Cricetulus griseus: one gene and its partners. The protein of the gene in region 6 interacts with the protein of the main gene of each other region in a pairwise test. Links are inferred from orthologs where the notes say so. Each region holds a gene or a part of one and is shown on either strand. Other genes may lie near its edges.

The links.
Region 1: the proteins of Snca (region 6) and Sdf4 interact in a two-hybrid assay, tested with the Homo sapiens proteins (2 studies listed by BioGRID and IntAct). The link is inferred for Cricetulus griseus from reciprocal best matches to the Homo sapiens genes SNCA and SDF4.
Region 2: the proteins of Snca (region 6) and Arfgap3 interact in binary tests that used the Homo sapiens proteins (3 or more experiments, as listed by UniProt). The link is inferred for Cricetulus griseus from reciprocal best matches to the Homo sapiens genes SNCA and ARFGAP3.
Region 3: the proteins of Snca (region 6) and Usp8 interact in a two-hybrid assay, tested with the Homo sapiens proteins (2 studies listed by BioGRID, with this or other methods). The link is inferred for Cricetulus griseus from reciprocal best matches to the Homo sapiens genes SNCA and USP8.
Region 4: the proteins of Snca (region 6) and Prkn interact in binary tests that used the Homo sapiens proteins (3 or more experiments, as listed by UniProt). The link is inferred for Cricetulus griseus from reciprocal best matches to the Homo sapiens genes SNCA and PRKN.
Region 5: the proteins of Snca (region 6) and Arfgap1 interact in binary tests that used the Homo sapiens proteins (3 or more experiments, as listed by UniProt). The link is inferred for Cricetulus griseus from reciprocal best matches to the Homo sapiens genes SNCA and ARFGAP1.
Region 7: the proteins of Snca (region 6) and Tor1a interact in a two-hybrid assay, tested with the Homo sapiens proteins (2 studies listed by BioGRID, with this or other methods). The link is inferred for Cricetulus griseus from reciprocal best matches to the Homo sapiens genes SNCA and TOR1A.

What each region holds. Positions count from the first base shown.
Region 1 is NC_048595.1:303,830-307,382, reverse strand, and holds the end of Sdf4 (45 kDa calcium-binding protein), read left to right. Parts: intron 1-1,620; coding exon 1,621-1,779; intron 1,780-1,984; coding exon 1,985-2,160; intron 2,161-2,586; coding exon 2,587-2,763; 3' UTR 2,764-3,053; downstream 3,054-3,553. UniProt on the Homo sapiens protein: May regulate calcium-dependent activities in the endoplasmic reticulum lumen or post-ER compartment. Isoform 5 may be involved in the exocytosis of zymogens by pancreatic acini.
Region 2 is NC_048595.1:380,240,332-380,244,294, reverse strand, and holds the start of Arfgap3 (ADP-ribosylation factor GTPase-activating protein 3), read left to right. Parts: upstream 1-1,163; 5' UTR 1,164-1,273; coding exon 1,274-1,342; intron 1,343-3,963.
Region 3 is NC_048599.1:51,763,963-51,766,345, reverse strand, and holds part of Usp8 (ubiquitin carboxyl-terminal hydrolase 8), read left to right. Parts: intron 1-113; coding exon 114-350; intron 351-1,187; coding exon 1,188-1,330; intron 1,331-2,383. UniProt on the Homo sapiens protein: Hydrolase that can remove conjugated ubiquitin from proteins and therefore plays an important regulatory role at the level of protein turnover by preventing degradation. Converts both 'Lys-48' an 'Lys-63'-linked ubiquitin chains.
Region 4 is NC_048595.1:288,897,095-288,899,269, reverse strand, and holds the end of Prkn (E3 ubiquitin-protein ligase parkin), read left to right. Parts: intron 1-358; coding exon 359-471; 3' UTR 472-1,675; downstream 1,676-2,175. UniProt on the Homo sapiens protein: Functions within a multiprotein E3 ubiquitin ligase complex, catalyzing the covalent attachment of ubiquitin moieties onto substrate proteins. Substrates include SYT11 and VDAC1.
Region 5 is NC_048599.1:936,678-940,789, forward strand, and holds the start of Arfgap1 (ADP-ribosylation factor GTPase-activating protein 1), read right to left. Parts: upstream 2,801-4,112; 5' UTR 2,780-2,800; coding exon 2,666-2,779; intron 2,387-2,665; coding exon 2,127-2,386; intron 1-2,126. UniProt on the Homo sapiens protein: GTPase-activating protein (GAP) for the ADP ribosylation factor 1 (ARF1). Involved in membrane trafficking and /or vesicle transport.
Region 6 is NC_048601.1:81,915,809-81,919,863, forward strand, and holds the start of Snca (alpha-synuclein), read left to right. Parts: upstream 1-1,255; coding exon 1,256-1,376; intron 1,377-4,055. UniProt on the Homo sapiens protein: Neuronal protein that plays several roles in synaptic activity such as regulation of synaptic vesicle trafficking and subsequent neurotransmitter release.
Region 7 is NC_048599.1:142,681,273-142,685,465, reverse strand, and holds the start of Tor1a (torsin-1A), read left to right. Parts: upstream 1-1,393; 5' UTR 1,394-1,441; coding exon 1,442-1,622; intron 1,623-1,952; coding exon 1,953-2,218; intron 2,219-4,193. UniProt on the Homo sapiens protein: Protein with chaperone functions important for the control of protein folding, processing, stability and localization as well as for the reduction of misfolded protein aggregates.

The DNA of each region.
Region 1 (3,553 bases), on a different chromosome or scaffold from region 6:
CAGTGCTCTTAATCACTGGACAACCACTTTAACTTCTATTCCATTACTTTTAAATTTAGCTTTGGGCAAATTCTCAGGACAGTGGCAAGAGGCAGCCAGATTATTTGCCAAAATATCATCAAAATGACCTCTAGCCCAGTTGCTAATATTGTTTCCCTCTGAAACCTTTTGATCTGGGCTTCCACAGACAGTATTGCTCCTATCTTACTGTCTTCCAGGGTCCTACTATAATGGCCCTTTAAGCTCTGCTTATAGCATTCACACACCTTTTGAGTCTGAAATTCCTAGATCTCCCACATTCTTCCCCAAACCAACAGGTCGGGGTTCTTCATAGCACCTATTGTCTGTTGCCAACTTCTCTATTAGTCTTTTCTGCTATGATAAAGTATCATGACTGAGGCAACACACAGAAAGGACTTTATTTGGGCTTGTGGTTCCAGAGTGTTCAGAATGGTGGCAGGAGCAGGAAGTTAAGCTTGTATCTTAAACTTCAAGCATGAGTTTGAAGTGAGTGAGACTAAACATTTGAAGCCTGCCCCAAGTAATATAATTCCTCCAACAAGGCCTCACCTCCTAAACCTCCCAAAATAGCATTGCAAGGGTCATGTGTTCAAGTGCCCTAGACTATGAGGGACATTTATCATTAAAACATGTGTATTCACATCCTGACCTCAGCCCACCGAAGGGCCTCTGATTGCCTGAGGTGATCTGAGCACTTGGTAGCATTCTGGAGGGGTGGCTTTGCTTTATAATCTCCTTTGTATAATGCCACTTTTTTGTTTTTATTTTTATTTTTGCTGTTTGAGTGACAATCATTCAAATGAGCTGCCTACTTCAGCCTCCCAAGCAGCTGGGACTACAGGGTTCTGCCAGTGTGTCCCATTCTCCATTATTCTTTTGAAAGAGTTCTGTTAGTAAGGTTAGATTAACACAGGAAATACTATGCATGAAGACCACTTGGCCGGTCTGTGGTGATCAGGTACTTAATGGGTCATGGTGGGGCTGCTACAGTCAGGATGTAGCCCCAGAGTCAGACTCAGGACAATTTGGGTAAGTCAGTGAAGGCAGGCAAGGACACTTAGGGTTACTGGAGCTGAGCGACTTGGAAGCCTAGGCAAATAGGACATAGTCACTGACTGTGTTGAGTCCCAGATGGGGAAGGATTCATTTCTGCCCTGGGAACATGGGAGACGTGAGAGGATGCATAGGCAATCATTTCTAGAGTCCATGGGAAGTTTTGCTCACTACCTCAGTCATTTCTAGAAATTGGGTTTTCTGCATTCTATGCTCTCCGAATGATAATGCACATGAAAAACAGAGAAAGGAACAAAAGTGACACCTTTGTTCCTATAGACGTCAATAAGGGTGAGTCAGCCTCAGTCTTGATGAAATTTCCATTTCTGATGAGGAATAAACAGCTTGGAGTGTGCTGGGAAGGCAGGTTGGGCAGTATTCAGGGGTTCTGTTTGTCCCCTCCCAAGGACCAGGCTCTTCTAGGTGGGCTAGCACCCTTAGTCTTGAGCCTGGCAAATGACAGCCCTCTTGAGTTCAAGTAAAACATTGTGGGTGCTTGCATTAGTGTCCAGCATGCCTAGGTATTCACAAATGTGCCTCTCGCAGCACAGGAAGTCCTTGAGAACCTCAAAGGTCGCTGGTATCAGGCCGACAATCCACCTGCAGACCTGCTGCTGACTGAGGAGGAGTTCCTTTCATTCCTTCACCCTGAGCACAGCCGGGGCATGCTCAAGTTCATGGTCAAGGAGATTGTTCGGGACTTGGGTAAGGCGTGTTCCCACTATGACACTGTTCTAGGCCTGAGGGTGACCAATGGGCTGGGAACACTACACTGCTGCAAGGGGTACCAAGCCCCAGGATAGGTGGGCTTGTCCTGTTTTGATTTCTAAGGAAGTTCTTCAGTGGTACTCAGTGAGTTTTAGGTAAAGCCCAAGGTGAACACTACCTCCTTCCAACCCTTTATCTGTAGACCAGGATGGTGATAAGCAGCTGTCTCTGCCTGAGTTCATCTCCTTGCCAGTGGGCACTGTTGAGAACCAGCAAGGCCAAGACATTGATGACAATTGGGTGAAAGACAGGAGAAAAGAGTTTGAGGAACTGATTGATTCCAACCATGATGGGATTGTGACCATGGAGGAGCTGGAGGTGAGTAGGGGTGCTTATGAATGTTGGTGTGTTCCAGGAATGACCCTGGGTTTGGAGGCGGTGGGCTAATCCTACAGTAAGGTCCCAAAGTAAAGGGGGCTTGCCTACGTGATGACCTGAGACAATGGGCATTGGCGTTAGTGCACAGACTGAAGAGATGGGAAAGTCTTGTGAAACCTGCTGACTATGGGCTATTGGCCTTTAGAAAGCAACTCCCTAGTTTGTAGAAGGCATCTGGGAATTGGTTTTGGTGCTCAGGATGAAACCCAGGACCTCTAAACATGCTAAACAATTAATTGTTCTATAACAGAGCTACATCCTAAGTGACCTCTGGGCTAGTATGTAGGTGTGGGGGCTGTGGGCACAGGGCCTCTCTGTTGGTAGGGTGTCAGGTATAGGCCACTGACTTATGTCTGGATCTCACAGAACTACATGGACCCCATGAATGAATACAATGCCCTCAATGAAGCCAAACAGATGATCGCCATTGCCGACGAGAACCAGAATCACCACCTGGAGCCTGAGGAGATTCTCAAGTATAGCGAGTTCTTCACTGGCAGCAAGCTGATGGACTATGCCCGCAATGTGCATGAGGAATTCTGAGCATGCCCCTCAACCCTCAACTGGGGCCAGGCCACCAGTCTCCTGTCTGACCCTTCCTATATCTTGAGGGAGAGGCCTGTGGTCTAGTGAGACCTGTGGTTGACTTGGGTCCCAGGGTGGTTCTGAAATGCTCTACCTACCCTGTGTCTGGGAACTACCATGATCCCTAAGAGTGCTGTCCCAGAACCTTCTTTCTTCTGCTGTGTTCGTATGCTCTGGCTCAGCCCCTGCCACAGCATGGCCCAGACTTATTAAAAATGTGCTTAATAGGCTATGTGTCCTTTCCAGCATGTGTCTGAGGCAGCAGCCCTTCTGTACCAGTTATAGGCTAAGCTATATTTGCTTGATCAAATCTCTCTCAGTTGCTAACATTCTACTTCTGAGAACTGTTTGGGGTGTTTGGTTCAGGTGAAGGTCTGAGTTAGGCCTCTCCATGGGCTTACAACATTGTGGGAAATAAATGCAACTCTTACAATTTCCATGAAAACTGGAAGATTAACGTAAAATTAGATCGCATTTCTCTGGAAGTAGTCAGCCCCACAGTTTTGCAGGTGTTATCTCTTTGGTAAGGTCTGGTAGACCATGGGGGTAGGATCTTCCTCAAACTCCTCAGAATCTTGCAGGATCCCATCCTCTCTTGTGAGGAAGTACAGATATTTGTTGTCACAAGAATTGTTACTTTAAAATAGAATTGCCTTTTTCTCATGGTTTTTCTTTCTTTTTTTCTTTCTCTCTTTGTTTTGTTTTTCAAGACAGGGTTTCTTTTTTTCTTTTTTTTTTTTTTTTTCTT
Region 2 (3,963 bases), on a different chromosome or scaffold from region 6:
CCTAACACCCAACTGTTCCCACCCTGTCTGGATGTCCTTTCTCCTTACTACTGTCTTTTTGATCCATGTGGGGGTTTTTTCTCGTTGTTTTTTGGTGTTTTTGGTCCAGCTCTGAGCTAATGAATGTACAGCTTTTGTGAGGTCCCAACTTCCCTGAGGGTGTGTAGACAGGCAGGGAAAGTATTCCCAACTTCACACCAAGTCCCTTTCCAGAATGTCGTGGAAGCTGCTGTGCTGCTCCAGTCAACACGTTTCATCTCCAACTCCTTCGTCCAAATGAATGCTAGGAAATTACTAAAGCCACGTGGTTGAGAAGCAGCCAGCTGAAACGGGAAGAAGCTGGCGCATTTGACACCCAAACCTGTTTTTCTTCTATTGTGCCCTACCTGAGGCAATGTTTGCCAGCTGCTCCACGCTGGCTGGCCCTTGTAAAAGACACCTGCTCCCGAGCTCAGACCTTCTAGCTACTAATGTTATCCAAGGTTTAGATGGCGCCCCAGGCACTAAACAGGATTCTGATCTTTCTAGACTTAGAATGTTCTGATCCCGACAGAACCTGTGGCCTAGAGGCGGGCACTTTCTCTCCATTGACCGAACAGACAATTTATAATTACAGGATTACCAAACCGTTATGGCACAGTGCAGACCTGTAATCCCAGAACGCAAGAAGCCGAGGCAGGAAGATCTCCAGTTCAAGTCCAACCTGGGAACTAGACTAGCCTAGCTTCACCGGAGAGAGAAAATGGAACAGCAGTTTCCAGCACAGACTTTCGTTCAGTGTTTGGCTTGAGCTGAGTACAAACGTTTCTCCACTGTTTCTCTCCAGGATCCCGTGAGGATGGAACCCGCTGGTTCTGACACCCTGTAGGAAGGATGTGAGACTGTCGCCGTGGGAGGAGCCGGCAGCGAGATGCTGGCGAGTCCGGTAGGTAAGCGCGGTGCTCCCTGAGCAAAAACTGGCGTTTCTGCTCCGCACTGTGAAGGACCGAAGAAGAAGAAGGGGGGGCGGGCGGGGGGCGAGCGAGCTTCCGCGCATGCGCCTGCCGCGCGGGCCTAGAGGTTAGAACACAGAAGGGCTCACACTGTGGGCCGCTGGAGCGTCAGAGCGAGGGAGAACTGCGCGTGCGCCCGCTTTGTGGGCGGAGCCCGGGCGCGGCAGGGGCGTGGCCTTCGTCACGCGCAGCCCCTCCCCTCGGTCTCCGGGAGGCGGCAACCGCTTCTCCTTGTCTTTTCCCGGTTGTCGGGGACTGCCTCACCTTGTTTTTCGGTGACCATGGGGGACCCCAGCAAGCAGGACATCCTAGCCATCTTCAAGCGCCTGCGCTCGGTGCCTACTAACAAGGTAACAGTCGCTGGCGAGCTCGGAATCCCGCGGCTTGCTGGACCCCGGTGTGGCCACTGCCGTGGGAGGAGCCGCCCGGCCTGTGACACGTCGCACTGTGGGCCTGGCAGCCGCTGCTCCCCAACCTTCGCCAGCGAGGGGCGGGAGAAGGGGCGCACACCAGGGGCTTGGCAATGGAGTACGGGGTCCAGTGAGAGCTGGCCAGAGGCCCTAGCCGACAGGGAGGACTTGGGACATGGGCATCTGGAGAATATACAGAAGCGAAGGGCAAAGCATCTGGGGAGCACAGAGAGGGCTGGGGCATGGACATCTGGGATGTCCACCACCTGAGGGCAGAGTGCCTGGGGGTAGTTGGAGATGTCTAAGGCAGGAGACCAGTGCGTCTAGGGGCACAGAGAAGGCTGGGGTATGAGCCTCTAGGAGTGTCCACTATCAGAGGTCAGTACCTGGGGGCTCAGAGAGAGCCGCTTCTTGGCATCTGGGGGCACCTAGGTCTGGAGACCAGAGCACTTTGATTCAGAAACACAGACAAGGTGAGGTGGAGGGAGCAGTGTGTCTGTCTATCCGTTAGATAGTTGGGCTCTGAGAAACCTGGGGAGACATATACTCTGCCTCCCGTGACCTAAGGGTGAATACTACAGCCACCTAGACCCATGGGGAAGCGTGTCTGAGGGTCAGAACACTAAATGTTCTGGGCTCTGGGATAGGACTTCTCCCCACCATGAACCTTGTCTTGAGTGTTGTTCAGGGCTGGGGACCTGTTGGATACTGGTCCCAGTTGTCCTTTGTTAGCATCCCGTTTCCCAGCTTCTAAGCTGCCAGCTTTCTGTGTGCCTATGGAAGTCGTCAAAGTTCACCTTCATCCCTTTGGAGGTTGAGGGTCACCTCTCCAATTTTTTTTTCTTGTAAGTGCCCCTACCCCACCCCCACTATAGTGTATAACTTTTAGTGTGTGGCTGGCAGTGTTGTTATGATACACAGGGTTAAGGTGACCACTTCCCTAGGATGACGGAGTAGGGTGGAACCTGCAGAGTACAAAGGGCTGTCGTGTCACTGTGGACTCTCCCCACCCCTCTTGGAGTTCAGTCTGGTCTCCACCTCTACCTCTAAGGAAACATCTGTTAATGAGCACAGGCAGGAGTCCTGAATTGACGGCATAGAAAGTTCCAGCGTTTTTTACAAAATTCGGGCATTTTAGGTCTTGGCATAGAAAGTTCCAGCATTTTTACAAAATTCAGGCATTTTAGGTCTTGATGGTGGGAGTCCTAATTTTTATAGCCTTCTAGTGAAGGAAATGGTCAGTTAGGGGTGATAATGTCTGGTGGGTGTAAGAAAGAGGAGACAGCTTCCAAGCACTGTCCAGTTTGTTGTTACTTTGCTATTTTCTTGATTTTTTTCAAATTTAGATTGATCTGTGACTAGTAAGGACTTGTTATCACACACAAGATTGGATCTGCAGCTGGCAGGGTGGAAAAATACATATGTTACTGCTTTCTCTTCTAATCACACCAATATGTAGTCTCTTTAAATTCATCAAAAAGATGCAGCTAAATAAGAAAAATAAAAAGCAAGAAATAACAACAAAAGGGAAGAGGCTCCTTTTAAAGAGCCAGTGTTAGGATACCAAGAGATACTTTTAAGAAACCCACGTGGGCTTGCTTGCATATTAAAATTTAGTTGGCCGTGGTAGCACATGCTGTAACCCCATCACTTGGGAGGTGAAGCCAGGAAGATCAGGAGTTCAGGGGCAGCCTCTGCTACATAGCAAGTTCTGGCCTGCCTGGGCTACATGAGACTATATCTCAAAAAAGTTAAAATTATTGCCCATTGGCATAATGGTACACGCTTACAATCCCAGCTCTTGGGAGGCTAAGGTAGTTGGATTTCCAATAGTTAAAGAACAGCTTAAGCTACAGCTCTGAAGCACATTCCTTGTCCTCTTCGAACTGTATTTTGTTGTCTGAGAATGTGGTTATGAACTGGATCTAACTGAAAAGATGGCTGTGAAGATTAGATTAGGTGATCCAAAAAAAGCCTGGTGTGACATTAGTCCACATGAATACAGCCATTGTTTCCATTTCATTCTAAAGACTATACCTGTGGATATAGTATGTTCTGTAATATGACTTCTTTTTTTGTTTTTGTTTTTGTTTTGTTTTTTTTGTTTGTTTGTTTTTTGAGACAGGGTTTCTCTGTGTAATAGTCCTGGCTGTCCTGGAATGTGCTTTGTAGACCAGGCTGGCCTCAAGCTCACAGAGATCCACTTGCTTCTGCTTCCCGAGTACTAGGATTAAAGGCGTGCGCTACCACCATCCAGCTTGCAATATGATTTCTTTTTTTATTTTATTTATTTTTATTTCATGTGCATTGGTCTTTTTGCCTGCATGTATGTCTTTGTGAGGGTATTGGATCCCCTGGAACTGGAGTTATAGACAGTTGTGAACTGTCCTGTGGGTGCTGGGGATTGAACCTGGATCCTCTGGAAGAACAGCCAGTGAATGTTCTTAACTGCTGAGCCATCTCCCCAGCCACTTAATATGATTTCTAAAGCAAAATGCCAAAGTAGCTTCTGGTCATGTCTCATGGCATTTGGCTCTCTTTTATTTGGCTTGAAGCCATGA
Region 3 (2,383 bases), on a different chromosome or scaffold from region 6:
TCTTCAGTGTGGCTAAATCTGTAAAATGTCATTCCTTGAATGTCATATTTAACTGTCAATACCACCAAACTCTTAGATACTAACAGAACTGAGTGAGTTGTTCTCCTTCCTAGGCTGACAATCGGAAGAGGCATAAGGAAGAGAACAACGATCACCTCGATGACTTTAAAGCGGCAGAACATGCTTGGCAGAAGCACAAGCAGCTCAATGAATCCATCATTGTCGCACTTTTTCAGGGTCAGTTCAAATCCACAGTGCAGTGCCTCACCTGTCACAAAAAGTCTCGGACATTTGAGGCTTTCATGTATTTATCATTGCCGCTAGCATCCACAAGTAAATGCACATTACAGGTAAGTTTAAGATGAAGAGATAATGGGTTGGTAAAAATGTTATTTGTGTGTGCATAGCAAAATGCCTCATCCGCATAGGAAAATAGGTGAGCTACATCCTAGCCCTTGGGGATTTTTATTGTCTTACTATTTTATGTGTATGGGTATTTTGCTAGTACCTTTCTGGGCACCAGCTGCATGCAGTGCCCACAGAGGTGTGAACTGCCATGTGGGTGCTGGGAATTAAACCCAGGTCTTCAGCAAGAGCTGAGCCATTTCTCTAGCCTGTAGCCCTTGACTTTTTGAACTGGATCTTGCCATAAAGCACAGACCGGCCTTGAACTTGAACTGTTCCATCTGATTCTACAGTGCTGGGAGTACAGGCAATGTCGTCAGGTGCAGGCTTCTGACCCAGGCAGCATTGAATGCAGAGCCAGTGTATAATGGAGAAGCACTTCACCACTCAGCCAAACCCCCATCCACAAAAGTTTGCATTTTTAATTAGTTTTGAAAGCTAACTTAGGAAGTTGTAATTGACATTACCATAGATCTACTGTTTCGATGTACTTTACTTGGGGATCAGACATACTGGTTTCCACAGGACAGCAGTGTAAGTAATAGAATAGCTTGTGTTCATACCTCCAGTCTTCACTTCCTCCAAGTCCACCATACCCAGGATAGAGGTCCTTGTGTGTGCTATGCTGACCCTCTGCAACACTGGTGACGTCCCTCCATATCCAGACACTTACTCCACCTTCTGAAGGTGTCCGTGCGTCTGCAGCACTCTTACTGAAGAGGGCTTCCTGGAACTCCATGAGGAAGTAAATCACTGCTCACAGTGTGTTTTTTTGCCACTAGGACTGCCTTAGATTATTTTCCAAAGAAGAAAAGCTCACAGATAACAACAGATTTTACTGCAGCCATTGCAGAGCTCGGCGGGACTCTCTAAAGAAGATAGAGATCTGGAAATTGCCGCCTGTGCTGTTGGTACACCTGAAACGGTAAAGCCTCTGCTTGCGTACTAGCAGTTGATGGAGGAACTGTAATGTCTATGTAATCTGTGTTCTGGGTTGTTTTTTAAGGAAACCTAATGAAGATTCTCCAGCAATAATTAGTGGCAGATATGACAAGCAGAATAATAGTACTTGTTATTTTATGTTATTTCCTGTGATTCTGTTTCTTAAAAAAAAAATTAATGGAACTAAATTATTGCATTTCAGACAACAAAATTTTAAGTCACCTCAAGTGAAATGTTACACAGTGTAATTCCAAACAGATTACCAGATAAAAATTAACATTCAGGTGCTGGAGAGATGGTTCAGTTGTTAAGAGCACTAGCTGCTGTTGCAGGGGACCTAGGTTCAGTTCCCAGCACCTACATGGCTGCTCACAACTGCTGTAACTTCAGTTCCAGGTGATCTAGTGCCCGCTTCTGGTATCTGAGTACCAGGCACATGTATTGGGCATAGATATATATGCAGGAAAAGCATCCATACATATAAAATGATAAAATATTTTTTAGTTAATATCCAGATTATAAACTATAGCAAGATTAATTTAATCATGTATAACATGATGGCACATACCTGTAATTTCAGCCTTGTGTTAAAAAAATTATGCTTTTAAAAAAAAAGTGAGTACAAAATATGGCTGCATTAGCTCATGTATGGAGAACAGAAGTCAGCTTTCTCCTGCCTTTTTGGTTGTTGCTTGTTTTTTGTTGTTTTCCTCAGACAGGGTTTCTCTGTGTTGCCCTGGCTGTCCTCGAACTCCCAGAGATCCATCTGCCTCCAGAGGGCACTAAGTACAAGCATTCTTGTCTTGAGTCTAATCTAGTGGAAGGACAGGGTCCCACACAGCAGAGCAGAGCATTGAGAGCCATAGCCCCACTGCTCTTGTTTCTCTATAAAGAGACAGGCTCTTGCCTATATACCTCAGGTGAGCCATGACCCAGCCTTCCTTCCCTTAATGCCATTATAGGTGCACACCACCATACCCAGCCGGAGTCAGCTTCACAAGAAAACCCTAAAGTTTCAGTTTAGTTGTGAAGTATA
Region 4 (2,175 bases), on a different chromosome or scaffold from region 6:
ATTTGAAAATCATGAGTTTAATATGGCTCTATTTTTTTTTTTTAATGAAGAATCAGCAGGCTGTGAAACACACCATTTATGTCTGAGCACATGAGGGAAAGATGAGAAACTCAGACTGTGAATGGGATTTGTTCTGAAGGCAAAGAGCCCTTTGTCCATGTCATTATCTTATCTTTTCTCACTTGGGGGAGGGGGATGTTGCCTCCTGTTGTTTCTGATTATTCCCCCTGGCTCAGAGTCTCTCTGCCCTCCTTGCTGGGGATTTTTGGCTACAAGAGTCATTTCTGGGATGGCATGGGGGCAAGGGCTCCCCGTGTTTGCCACAAGCCCACAGCACCTGTATCCTTTGTACCCACAGGAGGATGTATGCACATGAAGTGTCCACAGCCTCAGTGCAGACTGGAGTGGTGCTGGAACTGCGGCTGTGAGTGGAACCGAGCCTGCATGGGTGATCACTGGTTCGACGTGTAGACAGACACTCAGGCACTGCCCCTGACCACACCTCCTTACGGGAAACACGTGGACTCCTGCCTTCTTAGCCATTTCGTCGTCTCTGGGCATATAAGCACATACAATGCACACGCACAAACACAGACTGCAAATTACAGACTCGGCCACTAGATCCTTTCCACAGGCACCCACGGAAGCCAGCAGCACCCACTAGGCACCCAGTGAGAGGCACTTTCGGGCCTCTGGCATATGCAACTATCCAACACTGGGAAGAGAGTGTAGCCCCTTGTTTTGGATTTCTCATCCCAGCAGGAATCCAGCCCTAGGGAGGGCTTTTCCAGGTTTAATTTCCCGACTTCACCTTCACTAAATCCATGTAGAAGCCTTAGGCGAAGCCACAGCTCTCCAAGGCTGTTGCCACGCTCTGTGTAAATTAGACTGCCGTGGAATCTCAAGAGCACACTCGAGATGTGAGGGACAGTGTTCTTACTCAGCAATCACCTATTCCCAGGGGGCCCTCCCCGGCAATAGTCAAAAATATTTGTTTATCCCCAAGAATCCTATCTTTATAAATGGTGCTGATGAGATGACAGCTCGGCGGCATACAAATCAACTTATCAACCAAGTGAGAAACTGGAAAACATAATTTGAATGCAGACTGTTTAAATTACAGTGAGGGCATCAAAGTGGAACCTACTTCCACTCGCTTAATTACCTGCAACTTTAGAAAGAAATTACTCTTTTTTTCCTGAAATTATTGCAAAGTCTGGAATTTGGTTTGAAGTATTCATATTGCAGCCTGGAAGTTTAGCCCATGCATTTGTCTTCACTGTGAACTTAATAGAAAAAGTGCCTATAAAGGGCATGTTTTTAGAAACAATCCCATGATGCTATTCCAACGCTAACAGCAGTGCAGGCCGGGTTTATATTTATGGAATATTTATAGAAGCGGCATTTCTAGATCAGCCACATGAGAACATGCCTGACCCTCCATCAGAAAGGGAGACACCTCTGTGTACTTACCCCCTAAGTCCCAGGGAGTCCCATGCACCCAGTGGTCCTACAGGCAGAACCTTTTGCGAAGGACAATAAACACACTAGAATATTCCTTAGGTAAATACACATCACATTTGAATGTTAAGTTTTCAAGATTTTATTTTTTCCTGTTGTGTTTCGTTTGGTTTGGTTTGTGAGGCACTCATAACACATAAAGCTGTTTCCACTAGGTACTGTGAGATGCAGTTTCTACTGCACCCTGTGCACAGGGGTGAGGCGTGGTCTCTGCCTTTCCCTCTCATTTGATTTTCTGACTTCTCAGGAGGCTGAGCTGGCAGCTGAGGGTCTCACTGGCCCCTGAGGCCCCTTGGGACTTAAGAGGCCTGAACCTTCTGAAATCAATAAGTAGATACAACCAACAGAATCCGATGCTGGTGGGAGAAGAGGCAGTGACCTCAGAATTTTCAGGTCATATCCCAAGAGCACCTGCTCCCCCACCCCAAGCAGCCTCACCCAGAACACTCCCCAGGAGCAGGCTTCCCTCCCCTTCCTCAGAGACACAGTACTGGAACAAGGCAGTAGTGTGAGAGGGGGCCACACAACATGACTTATCACCAACTGCTAGAAAATCCATCCTCTCCTTCATAATCCAGGGCTGCCAGACCCAAGTCCAGAAGCCAAAGATCAGATGGAAACGATGCTATGGTATCTTGTAGTGTGAGGCGAGGA
Region 5 (4,112 bases), on a different chromosome or scaffold from region 6:
GGCTGGACATAAACTAATCCCAGTGTTAATGCACACAGCAGCACTGAGGAGACTGGAGGCAGGACGGGGCCTCTAGCCACTCCCCTTGCTAGCCCACCAGTCAGCTGTGGTCTTTCCAGAGCTCATCCACCCCAATAGAGCCATGCTGTTTCCTCTAACTCACAGAGCAACACACATAAAACAAACAAACAAACAAAACAGGTGAGTCCTCTCTCTGAAAGAAGCTACAGGTTTTTGATGTTTCACCTTGCTATTTACTTGCTGTTAAACTGAAAATTGACCATTTTCTATTCATGTGGTTCACATAAAAAACAAAACAAACAAAAAGCCCCTGTCCTAGATACTGTATTTCATTTTGAATAAGACTGAAGAAATATGGTGTTCAGTAAAGGGAATCTTGACTCTCAACTCACCAATTCTCCTGAATCTTGAAGTGTCTATCTTTTAGCATGACTAGGATCCCCTTCTGTCAGATGTCAGGAAATAATTTGTTTTATGTAACTGTTTGAAACGAAATCCTAGTTCACTCTAGCTTCCTTTTACTGTGTTAACTGCGTGTTAGAATGACATCCTAAAACCACAAACACAGACTCCTGCATGTAGGATGCAGGCCCTGGCATGACTCATTCAGGCAGAACAGCTAGCACCCCAGGCATCTACTCATGCACACCCCCAGACAGTTCAGGGCTTTGGGGGAAACACTGGAAGATCTGAGTTTACAAAGCCCTTTGCATTCTTCTCCAACAGCTACAGGAACAGTTGTCATCAAGACCAATGCAGGTTTCTGTACTCAGTCTTGATATCCAAAGCACTGTGCCTGCCCTCAGAGGCTTACAACTACACAACAGAGGCAAACATAGGCAAGAAGTCAGCATCTCACCAAACTACTCTGAAGTTCTGACTATGTAAAATAAAGCAGAGGGACATTCAGAGCTATGAAGGAAAATGGGGTGGGGGGGGGGGGGGAGGAGTAGATAATTTGGCTTGGATTTTCTTTGTTTTTGAGACAGGTCTTTCTATATTGTCCTAGCTATCCTGGAACTCACTACCCAGGCTAGGCTGGCCTCAAACTCAGAGATCTGCCTGCCTCTGCTTCCCAAGTGCTGGGATTAAAGGTGTGTGCCACCATGCCTCGCTTGGCTTGGATTTAAGAAACTGCCCTGAGTGACAAACTTTGGGTATTAGTGAGTAATTACTTTTTTGGGGGGTGGGGGGTGGAGATAGGGTTTCTCTGTGGCTTTGGAGGCTGTCCTGGCACTAGCTCTTATAGATCAGGCTGGTCTTGAACTCAGAGATCCGTCTCCAGAGTGCTGGGACTAAAGGCGTGTGTCATCACCTCCCGACTACTGATTACTTATCTTAAATGTTGTTAGTAACATGAAAACAAGTTCCTCACTTTCACCAGCCCAACAATCCATTTTTTATGTTTTAAACATTTCTTTCTTGGGTGTGTGCATAATGTGTCCACAGTACACGCCTAGAAGCCTCGAAGGTGGGAGTCAGTCATTTCCTTCCACCATATGAGTTCCAAGGATCAAACTCAGGTAGTCAGTCTTGGTGGCAAGTACCTTACCTGGTAATCCATCTCACCCACCCCTAAGACTTCCTAATAGCTGAAATCAAAAAATGACAAAATAATCTTCCTTCAAGTAGACATAACCAGTAAATAGCAAATAAGGATATTTTCAGGCTTTACTAAGCTACAGGTCACACTACCTAGCATTTGGTTCTTAAACTGGGACATGATGAACCTCTGAGGTCAAAAGGAATGTTTGGGAACATAGCTTGGCCCTAAGGCTACAGTATGGGTGACAAGGAGAAATACTGTCTTTCTCAGAACTGCTCAAGGCACACGAAGAACCCTGTCTAAGCTATGGTTCCTCGCTCTGAAGAACAGGTTATTTCAGAACATCGCCTTGCCCAGGACCACAGGTAAGGCTCCACTGCTGCAAACACAGAAATATGAAGCCTGAAACAGTGAATTATTTCTGACTTGTGCTGCCTTAAGAGGACAAACATAAGCAATAAAGCCAGGTAAAACCGAGAAAAGGTTTAGAAGCCTGGTCCTTTGGGGGATTTTGCTGTTGGTTTGGTTTTTATTTTTCCTTCTTCAGCAGGGTACTCACTTCAAAGGCCAAAAAGGAACGATCAACCAGCTGAGGCTAGGGGGTCTGGCTTCCAGGCGCCTCTGGACAGAATCTTCTTTTGAAGTGTAGAGCCGCCAGCGGCTCTTTCCCGGCCCACTGGGCTGTGCGGAACCGGTCTGCGTCCGTCCGAGAGCGCCGAGAGGCCACGTAGATCCGCGAAGCCTCGGGATGGAGAGCAGCAGGCTCAGAGGCCGAGGGGTCTGGACGGCCGCGGCGATGGGCAGCCGCACACAGGGACCCTGGAGTTTGGGGTCCGAGGAACGGGAACGTCACGGGTCGGGGGACTGGAGAGTCCGGGGCCAGGAAGCTAGGGAATGGGAGGGACGGGGCGCGGGAGGAGGCGGGAGCCGTGGAGTCGGGGCGGAAGACTGGGGGTGTCGGACAGTCGGGGTGTTGGGGGACCAGGGCCTAGGCCCGCAGAACCCAGGGTTAGAGGACCAGGGACCGGGTAATCTGAGAACCGGAAGGTCAGGGAACGGAGGGTACGCGGGTCCCGGGTGTCCCGGCCGCGAGCTCACCTGCTGCCCTCCGGGGGTCGGGCCAGCCGAGTTGCCAGGCTGGACTGGGTGTTCAGAGTCCCCCCCACCAGCAGCCAGCAGCTTCCGGCTACGTCGCGCTTCGAAAGGGCTCATGGGAGGCCTGCGAGACGTTACTTCCGCCTCCTGCGTGAGCTCCGAAGCGCGCCTGTCTTCCGGTCTGTCCGGACCCTTGGGCCGCGCGCTGAGTTTGCAGGGATGCTCCGGCGTGGCCTGTGCCGCATGGCAACGCGGAGCGCATGGATCCCCGGCGCAGACCAAGCCTGAACCCGAGCCAAGGCGGCCCGCGGCCACTGTCAACTCGAACCGCGGACCAGGGTTTAAGATAGACTGGGGCCAGCTGTTCTGGTCAAATCACTGGCGTTAATTGCTGGTGTTTTTTAGTTTTGTGTTTACTTGGGGCCTCTCTGTGCCACCTATTACTTCCTCACCGGCTGCTTGACTTTCTTTTCTGTTTTAGTTTTAGTTTTTTTTGTTTTTCGAGATAGGGTTTCTCTATAACCTTGGCTGTCAGCCTGGCCTCGAACTAGGGATCCGACTGACTTTGCCTCCCGAGTGTGTGCGCCACCACCGACTGGCTCGTTTGCCTTTCAGATTAACCAAGCGTTAATGTTTTTGTTGAGGTCAAACCAAACCTGCCTGCATAGTACCTACATACGGTTGGCACCTGTACCGCCATCAGTGACAATGCGTCCCTTCTTACATCTGTTGGAGTTTCTGTGTCACAGGTTCAGAACTTTGTATAAATAGAATAACGAAAAATGTAGTCTTAGATGACTTATCCACAGCCTGATTTGGTGACTTTAGACAGGCTCTCACCCTGAAGCCCCGTTTAGCCTAGAATTCGAGGTAAGCCTCTGCCTCCTGAGTTCTGAGATTAAGGGCATGAGACACCCTGCCCAGCTTCATAGAATGGTGTTTTGTTGTTGTTGTTGCTTGTTGTTGTTGTTGTTGTTGTTTTTGAGATAGACTGTCACTGTGTAGACCGGGTGTTCCTGAACTCACAGATAACCTGCCCTCTACGGGTGTATTCAATGGCCAAACACAGAGGACAGAAAGCTCATAAAGACCAAAATTAAGCCAGATATGATGGCTCAACCTTCCACCTCCTATATACTTAGACACCACCACCGCCATTGGTGGCTGGAATCTTGAGTAAAGGTCTTGTGACTCCTCTCTTCCGTCATTGGGCTGCTCTGTTTATTTTGTTGATCTGGCTGAGGCCCACAGTCTTCTGTAGGCCACCATGGTGGTTCTCCATTATTGTGATGATCATGCCAGGCCCATGTGACACTGCAACATAAATAGCAGAGAAGTAGGTAGAGCCTTGAGCGCAGACCCTCAATGATGTGGGCCAGCATGGTCCAGAGGGTCTGGTGGCTCCCAACAAGGGTAGCAGGGTCAGCTGAAGAAACATCTAGAGCTTACA
Region 6 (4,055 bases):
CTTCCTTTCCACTGCCACTGAAATAAGATCAGGGGCAGAGAGGAGGAATCTGAATTCTGCGAAGCCAAGGGCGCCGGTAAGTACCTGTAGATAGCAGCAGCTCTGGGGATCCCGGAGAACCCTGGCTAAGAGGAGTCCCGATGCCTGGGAGATCTCCAGCTGAGGCTACCTCAGCGGTGGGGACACGGCCAGTGCATTGAAAGTACATTACTTGGCTTTCCTCGCGCTAGAGACGTGCTCTTCCATTCTCCCAAAGCCCGAGGGGAAACCAGGCTGTTCGTGGCATCTGCTTTTTCGAGCGGAAACGCCAGGGTGTTTCGTGTTGGGTGCTGGGTCCTGGAAGCTGAGCGCTGGGCGTTGGGAGAAACCTGAGCATCCAACTTTCATCCCCCACCCCGGGCACGTTCTATCTCTTATCTGGAGTGTAAGGAGGCTACATTTGGCCAGTGATTAATAAAAGTGCCTAAGGCACTTGGCAACAGGTGATAAGGGGTTAATGAGCACGGGGGTGCAGGGTTTTCAAGCAGATTCCAGTTGAGGACAGGGCCCCCAGGTTGGGTAGAGCTGAAGTGAGCCGGCTCAAGTGTGTGGACAGCGCCTGCTCCGGGCAGATAACAGACTGGAGAGCTAGCAGTGGGTGGAAGGTCTTGTTAGATTTGAACAGCTGGGCTGATGACAGTTGGCGTGCTGTTCCCTTCATCTTGAAGTAAGCAGTTCCCTTCCTTCCCCTCTCCTAAGACTAAACACTTACTAACCCCTTTCTGAGTCCTTTTACCCTTGCCCCCGACTTCAGTACCCCCTTCCATTGGTTTTCTAGACAAGCTTTTTACTTAGAATGTCGCCTTTAGGCCCTGGGAACTTGATGGGGTAGAGTCCACCCATCTTGCCATGTAACTCCATTTTCCAGCTGCTGTAAGAATGGCCAGGTGATCCATCTGGATCCATCCCATCTTTAAGTGGCTTGACTCTTCCTAGATTTGAGTGAAAAAGCTGACAAGCAACACCATGCCCAGTCCTCAAAACAAGCAAGCAAGCAAGCAAACAAACAAACAAACAAACAAACAAAAAAAACGAGTGTTCATTTACACAGAGATTGGGGAGGGGGGGTCTCTACTGATTTTTCAGTGATTTCTTCCTTGATTTTTAAAAAAATTCTTCCCATTCTAGCTGCTTTAATCTTGTTTTCTTTTACTCAAATTTTTAATTCAAAGTGTATTGTGTATTCTCTAGAGTGGAGGAAAAGACATCTTTCGCCATGGATGTGTTCATGAAAGGACTTTCCAAGGCCAAGGAAGGAGTTGTGGCTGCTGCTGAAAAAACCAAGCAGGGTGTGGCAGAAGCAGCAGGAAAGACAAAAGAGGGAGTCCTCTATGTAGGTAGGTAGTGGTGCCGTGACTGATGAGTTGGAGTGGCTAATCACTCAGTGCTGGCATGTGGTGTCTGATTCATGCACATAGCTGCTTCTCAGGAGAGTGACAGGTATGTGGAGGTGAGAGAATTGTGAATCTGCTTGTTAGCTCTCAGAAACAAATGGGAACAATGTTTTCTTTCCTTAGAATACTTAATTTTATTGCTTACTTAGGGTTTTCCATGTTTCTGTGTGTGTGTGTGTGTGTGTGTGTGTGTGTGTGTGTGTGTGTGTGTGTGAGCACATTGGGATTTTTAAAACTGGCAACCCATGAAAAATAACTAAGAATATGCTTATGAATCAGACCCATTTACAGCAGCAGGATGGTGGCATGTGGAATCCCAACATTTGGGACATGGAGGCCCAAGGGTCAGGAGTTGAAGATCATCTTTAGCTACATAGTGAGTTCAGGGTCAGTCCAGTCTACATGAAATCCCATCACAAAACAAAACAAAACAAAACAAAACAAAACAAGAGGAGTCCCAGGCCCTCACGGGACTTTGGCTTCTTTCATCATCACCATAGATAATACTTGTTAATTGCAATTTTAAAAATAAAACTGTAGTATGATTGTATTTAATATCTGTGAAAATACACCTACTTTGGTCCCCCAATAGAAAAAAAAAAAAAGGCAAGTTGTTCTTAGTGGATCTCCCTTTTGAGATGAAGCTCAAGGAACCTCAGATGTGTTTGTGTAATCACCTGGATGATGCACACAGGAAAGAGCAAGAGGTTGATACTCGGTGCCTTTTGTGCCTAAGTGTAAACCTTGAGACAGAGGTCAACACTGTTTACTGGCTTTCCCTGTGTTAAACTGGTTGCACTTCCAGTACTTTGATGGAGGGAAAAGACATATATGTATGCATGCACATTCATCTCCAGCAGAGACCCAGGTGCACAAGGGAGCAAGGATGCATGACTCACCTGCCCCCTCTGTGCTTCTCTGAGCTTCCCTACCTTCTTAGGGGGCCTCTATCTCAGTAGAAGGCAAAGGGTCAACCTTAAGATGGAAATGGAACAGACAAGTGGCAGAGGTGACAGAGAGGCCACACACTGAGACTGAGACTTACCAAAAGTGGGAAGCTGTGCTGGCGCTCCAGCTCTAACTGATTAGTGGGAAAAAACCTTTCATGAACTTTCAAAGTTTCTAGCATATCACCTTTGCTCATTCCTCATAGATTGTTTTTATGTTGACTCCCTTTCCACCTCAAAACAACCTTTCAGAAAGTCTTGAAATGAATATTAAAAGAGAAAGGTGTGAGTCAAGTGCTTCTTTTGGGAACAGTGAGGTCAATGTTTTTGATAGAATCCAGAATATAAAATCAGTTATTTGTAGATTTTTCAGGGCCTCAAAGTCTCCCACATCCTGCAACTATAGACCCATGACTACATTTTTTAATTAGTTACTTAGTGAATGTTATCTTTCTTCTTTTTAGACAACTAGTCACCTAATTTTCTTTTTTAATTTTTTTTTTTTTTTTGAGACAGGGTTTCTCTTATGGTTCTGGCTGTCCTGAAACTCACTATTTAGACTAGTCTGGCCTTGAACTCACTGAAATCCACCTGCCTCTGCCTCCTGGTACTGGGATTAAAGGCATGTGTCACCACCTTCCAGCTAGAGCATTAATTTTAAGCAAATGTAGAAGTTACTGAATATTAATTTATTATTCTTTCTAGTTAATAAACAGATCTTATCAAGTAGAACACTTTCATGTTTTATTGTTAATTGTGAGTTTAGGCAAATAAAGTGATTAGATTTTTCAAAGATTAATTTTGTTGTTCACTGCGAGGCAATTATGTAAAAAGCATAATGTTTCAATAAGTCTAATGTTACTAAAATTATCAATGTTGTTATATTTAATACATATATAATTAATCAATTGCTGGTTATGTTCTGGAGTCTAATTAAAAGCTGAACGTGGGTGGTGGTGGCACATGCCTTTAATTCCAGCACTGGGGAGGCAGAGACAGGTGGATCTTTGTGAGTTTGAGGCCAGCCTGGTCTACAGAGTTCAAGGACAGGCTCCAAAGCAATACAGAGAAACCCTGTCTCAACAAAACCAACCAATCAAACAAACAAAAAAAAGCCAAACACATGCATAGAATTTACTATGAAAAGTGAGGTCTAAAGGTAAGAATTAAGTTAAGATTTTGGTCAACTTTTGTTAATTTTCAAACTTATTTCGGCCAATCTGTCTCAGATAATCAGGTCTACTGTTAAAGTGTGAAAGCAACCATGGGCAATAACCAGTGTGGTGCTGTTTCAGTTTTTATTTATCAAAACAAGAAGCTGGGGTTAACTTATAGGCTAGAAAAAAGTGAAAGGGAATTGGGCTATAACTTATCAAACAAACATAAATTTAATACAAGCTACATCACTTCTACCTTTAGGATCTTGAGGAAGTTAATGTCTTTGAATTTCCTTCCCTTTTCCACAAATAATGTAGTTCATAAAAGTACAATTCCTTTGCAGAGCTTTTGTGGAAATGTGTAACCAAGTGCACTTTCATATTTAGGAAACTTGATTTTTATTAAATAAGCTATTCCACTCAACATGATTTCCTCTTATTTTTCACCAAATATATAAAACTATCATCAATAATTAGCCTGAAGGATTAGAAATAATCTGGGCTACAATTTGTCTCAG
Region 7 (4,193 bases), on a different chromosome or scaffold from region 6:
ATTCCAGAACCTAGGAGGTTGAGGCAGGATGATTGCAAATTCAAAACCAGCCTGCACTATATAGGAAGTTGAAAGATAGTCTGGAATAGTTATAAAGATTTTACCTCAAAACAAAGTTTGGGGCTGGAGAAATGGCAAACAAGTTAAGAGTCATTCTTGTACAGACCTGAGTCTAAATCCTGTCATCCACTGTTTCTCCCACCTCAAAGAATTTTTAAAATGAAATAAAACAAGAAGTAGAAGGTCTGAGGTAAAGCTCCATGATAGTGTTTGGCCCTGGGGTTCATCCCAGTGTCCCCCAAGTGTCTAGTGTTCCTCAAAACTCTCAAAGTCATTTAAAAAACAAGGCAAGTGTCGGAAGAATCCAAGAGGAGTTGGGGAATCAGCACTGTGGGGGAGCTAGATGGGTTCCCTAAGTAAGTAAGAAACTGGATGAACTGTGTGGGCTTTAATATAGTGGTTGGGGCGGTGGTGGTGCACGCCCTCAACCCAGCATTAGGTGGCAGAGGCAGGCGGATCTCTGATTTCGAGGCCAGCCTGGCCTACAGAGAGAGGTCCAGGACAGCCTGGGCTGTTATACAGAGAAACCCTGTCGGGGGAAAAAAAAAAAAAAAAAGCCGGGCGTTGGTGGCACACGCCTTTAATCCCAGCACTCGGGAGGCAGAGACAGGTGGATCTCTGTGAGTTCGATGCCAGCCTGGTCTCCAGAGCGAGTGCCAGAATAGGCTCCAAAGCTACACAGAGAAACCCTGTCTCGAAAAACAAAAACAAACAAAAATATAGTGGTTCATGGATTTTAACAAGTATAATATACAGATGTCAAATTTTTATTTCTTTAGAAAGGAGGCTCTCACGGTGTAACCCTGGCTGCCCCTAGAATTTGCTGTGTAGGCCAGGGTGACTCCAACTCAGAGTGCCAAAATACCCAGCCTTCAAATGTCTACTATGTATCTTTGGGTGGCCTCAAATTCGTTACAGATTCACCTGCCTCAGCTTCTAGAGTGCTGGGATTAAAGGCGCACACCACCCATAGCACCTTGACCAAATGTCAGATTTTAATAATAGGTAACCAGAGGTGGGGATGGGGTTGTCATATGGGAACTCATTATATTCTCACAGTTCTTATGTATTCATTTATACATTGTGTATGCCTACAGGAGTTTATGTGCACCTCATTAGATGCCTGCGTCATTGTTTAAAAACTGCCCTAAAATATTGTTATTTGATGAGGGTGGGGGAAGCAAATACACCTGACTCCTATAACCTCAAGGTTCAGAGGCAGGAAGAGCTTTACCCTTAACAAAGATGGCAGCCGCTACATTGGTTGGACGGCCTGCCCGAGACAAAGAGGGCTGTCCCGCAGGCAGGAACCGGAAACGCGCGTTGGGCGGTGCGCTGGGTAAGGTGGGCGCTGGGACGCGCAAGCGGCGCGGGTCCGGGCATGAAGCTAGGCCGGGCCTCACTGGCCCTGCTGCTGCTGGCGCCGTGCGCGGTTCGTGCGGTGGAACCCATCAGCCTGGGCCTGGCCCTGGCCGGCGTACTCACCGGCTACATCTCCTACCCGCGCCTCTACTGCCTCTTTGCCGAGTGCTGCGGCCAGAAGCGGAGCCTCAGCCGGGAGGGTAGGCGGGCACCAGGGACGGGCGCCAGGCGGCAGGGGGATGGTGCCGCGGCCAGGCCGGATTTTGGTCCGAGGCCTAAGAGATGAGTTGCCGGGCCCGGGGTAGGGTGTCAGCCCTGCGCGGAGCTCACCGGGGCGGCCTCACCGCGTCTCTTCCTTCCGCTTGGCTTTGGGAACACCCCCAAGCCCAGGCCTTAGGAAGGGCAGGGTTCGCCGCACCAGGGTCCTTCAGCGCTCTCCACACTAGGCTCGGGGCTCTGACAGCCTGGAAACGGGGCTTCATTTTACCTACTTGCTTCTCTCCTGACCAGAGTGATCTTTCCATTCCCAGCACTGCAGAAGGATCTGGATAACAAGCTCTTTGGACAGCATCTTGCAAAGAAAGTCATCTTAAACGCCGTGTCTGGTTTCCTAAGTAACCCGAAGCCCAAGAAGCCCCTTACCCTCTCTCTGCACGGGTGGACAGGCACGGGCAAAAACTTCGCCAGCAAGATCATCGCAGAGAATATTTACGAGGGTGGACTCAACAGTGACTATGTGCACCTGTTTGTGGCCACGCTGCACTTCCCCCACGCCTCTAACGTCACCCTGTATAAGGCAAGAGCATTAATTGGCCGCCTTCGTGGATGATGCGGGTTTGGGGCTTCTCTGTTGTGAGACGGGATGTGGGGATTCCACGTCAGTAAGTGAGCCTCGGTATGGCTCTTTGTATGTCAGTTCCTCTTTAAAAGGTGTGGACATAGCTGGCTGTGGTTATGTCAGCCATTCTGGAGGCGGAGAGAAAAGCTGGAGGAACTACAGTTGAGGATAGCCTGTGCAGTGCAGATCGTGACCGTGTTTCAAAGGAAATTGTCAAGGGCTGGGATAGCAAAGGGTAGAGCACTTGCCTACACCTGCATTCTGCTCCTGCCGCCGCAGTGGGAGTGATGGTGAATATGTAAGTTACAGAGGGTTTGTGATACAGAGCAATTAGACCACGAAAGTTTTATGGGTGACCTCTAGGCTCAGTAACAATTGGCTGTGGACAAGAGGGGCCATAATCAAATCCAACTTCAGGGTCTTCAGGTCCCACTCACATGGTGAAAAGGAAACATGGAGGTCTAAGTTTGCTTTGACTTGGCTGTTACAGCCAGCTTTTGGAGTTTAATTAACAGCCCACACCTGAATTCAGGTCCTAACTCTCCCCCACTCCAGCTAACCTTTCTCAGTTAACCTGAGAGGCACACTCTTGTTACACAAAATAGTGCTTTTGCCTTCTCTTGTGTAAAGTACACCCTCATACCTCCATACCCTCGCCACCCCCTGCTTTCTGTTAAACATCAGGGTCACCATGACTGTGACTTTGGGCAGTTCACCACCCCCCACCCCCGGGGGGTGGGGGGTGTTCTCTGTTGCCCTGGCTGTCCTGGAACTCACTTTGTAGACCAGGCTGGCCTTGAGCCCACAGAGATCCACCTGCCTCTGCCTCCTGAGTGCTGGGATTAAAGGGCGTTCACCACCACCACCTGGCTAAGTTTTTCAATCTCTGTACCTGTGATCAGCTGGGTGTTTTCTACACATCTGTATTCCCTGCAGGCTGAGGCAGGAGGATCACATGTTTGAGGCTAGCCTGGGCTACATAGTGAGCCTCTGTTTGAAAACAGGCAAGGAGAGGACAAATAGAGAAGAAAAAAAAATAGGGTCCCAACAGCATTTCCTCAGTAGCATTTGGTAGGTGGTTTAAAATGTTGCTGTAGTGGCCTGCACACGGGCTGTAGGAGACTGGGAAACCTTGTCTGTTGGACTCTAACAATTGAGTGAGTTCTATGTGAATGGTCACTTAGCTCATGGTGTTAGTAGGCCGCTCCGGGTTCCTCTAAGGCAGTAGGTCTCAATCTTCCTATGCTGTGACCCTTTAACACAGCTCCTCATGTTGTGGTGATTCAACCATAAAATTACTTCATTGCTACTTCATAACTGTAATTTTGCTGTTATGAATCATAATGTAAATATCTGATATGCAGGCTATCAGATACAAGAACCTGTGAAAGGATCATTTGACCCCAAAGGGGTTGAGACCCCCTGCTCTAAGGGGAATATGGTCCACATCTGCAGATTTGCTGCTTACATTGGATGCAAATGGAACACTAACCATGGTCACAACGAGCCAGAGCCAGGGGAGAACCCCAAGCAGATGTACAATGTAACTGCTAGTGTGTTCTTTAGAAAAATGCATAGCTGATTCCCTACCTCATCTCAGGAGGAGGGTGGAAATGCCTACAGATTGTGTAGAATTTCTGAGGAAAATGCTTGAAGAGATGTGTGTCTCACCTTGGTGGCTTAGTATGTAACTGGCCTAGGATGAGTAAGACCCTGATACCATTTTTTGTCATCTGCCCCACCAAAACACCAAATACAAATAAGAATTTTTTTTTTTTTTTTTTGAGACGGCTGCTCATGTGCCCATTGTTGCAGCCTGGGCTGGCCCTGAACTCTTATTATTTTAGCTTTTGTTTGTTTTAGAATTTTGTGTGCTTGGGAGTGTGTGCGCGCATGCATGCATGTGCACGTGCATGGGGGCCATAGGTCTCTG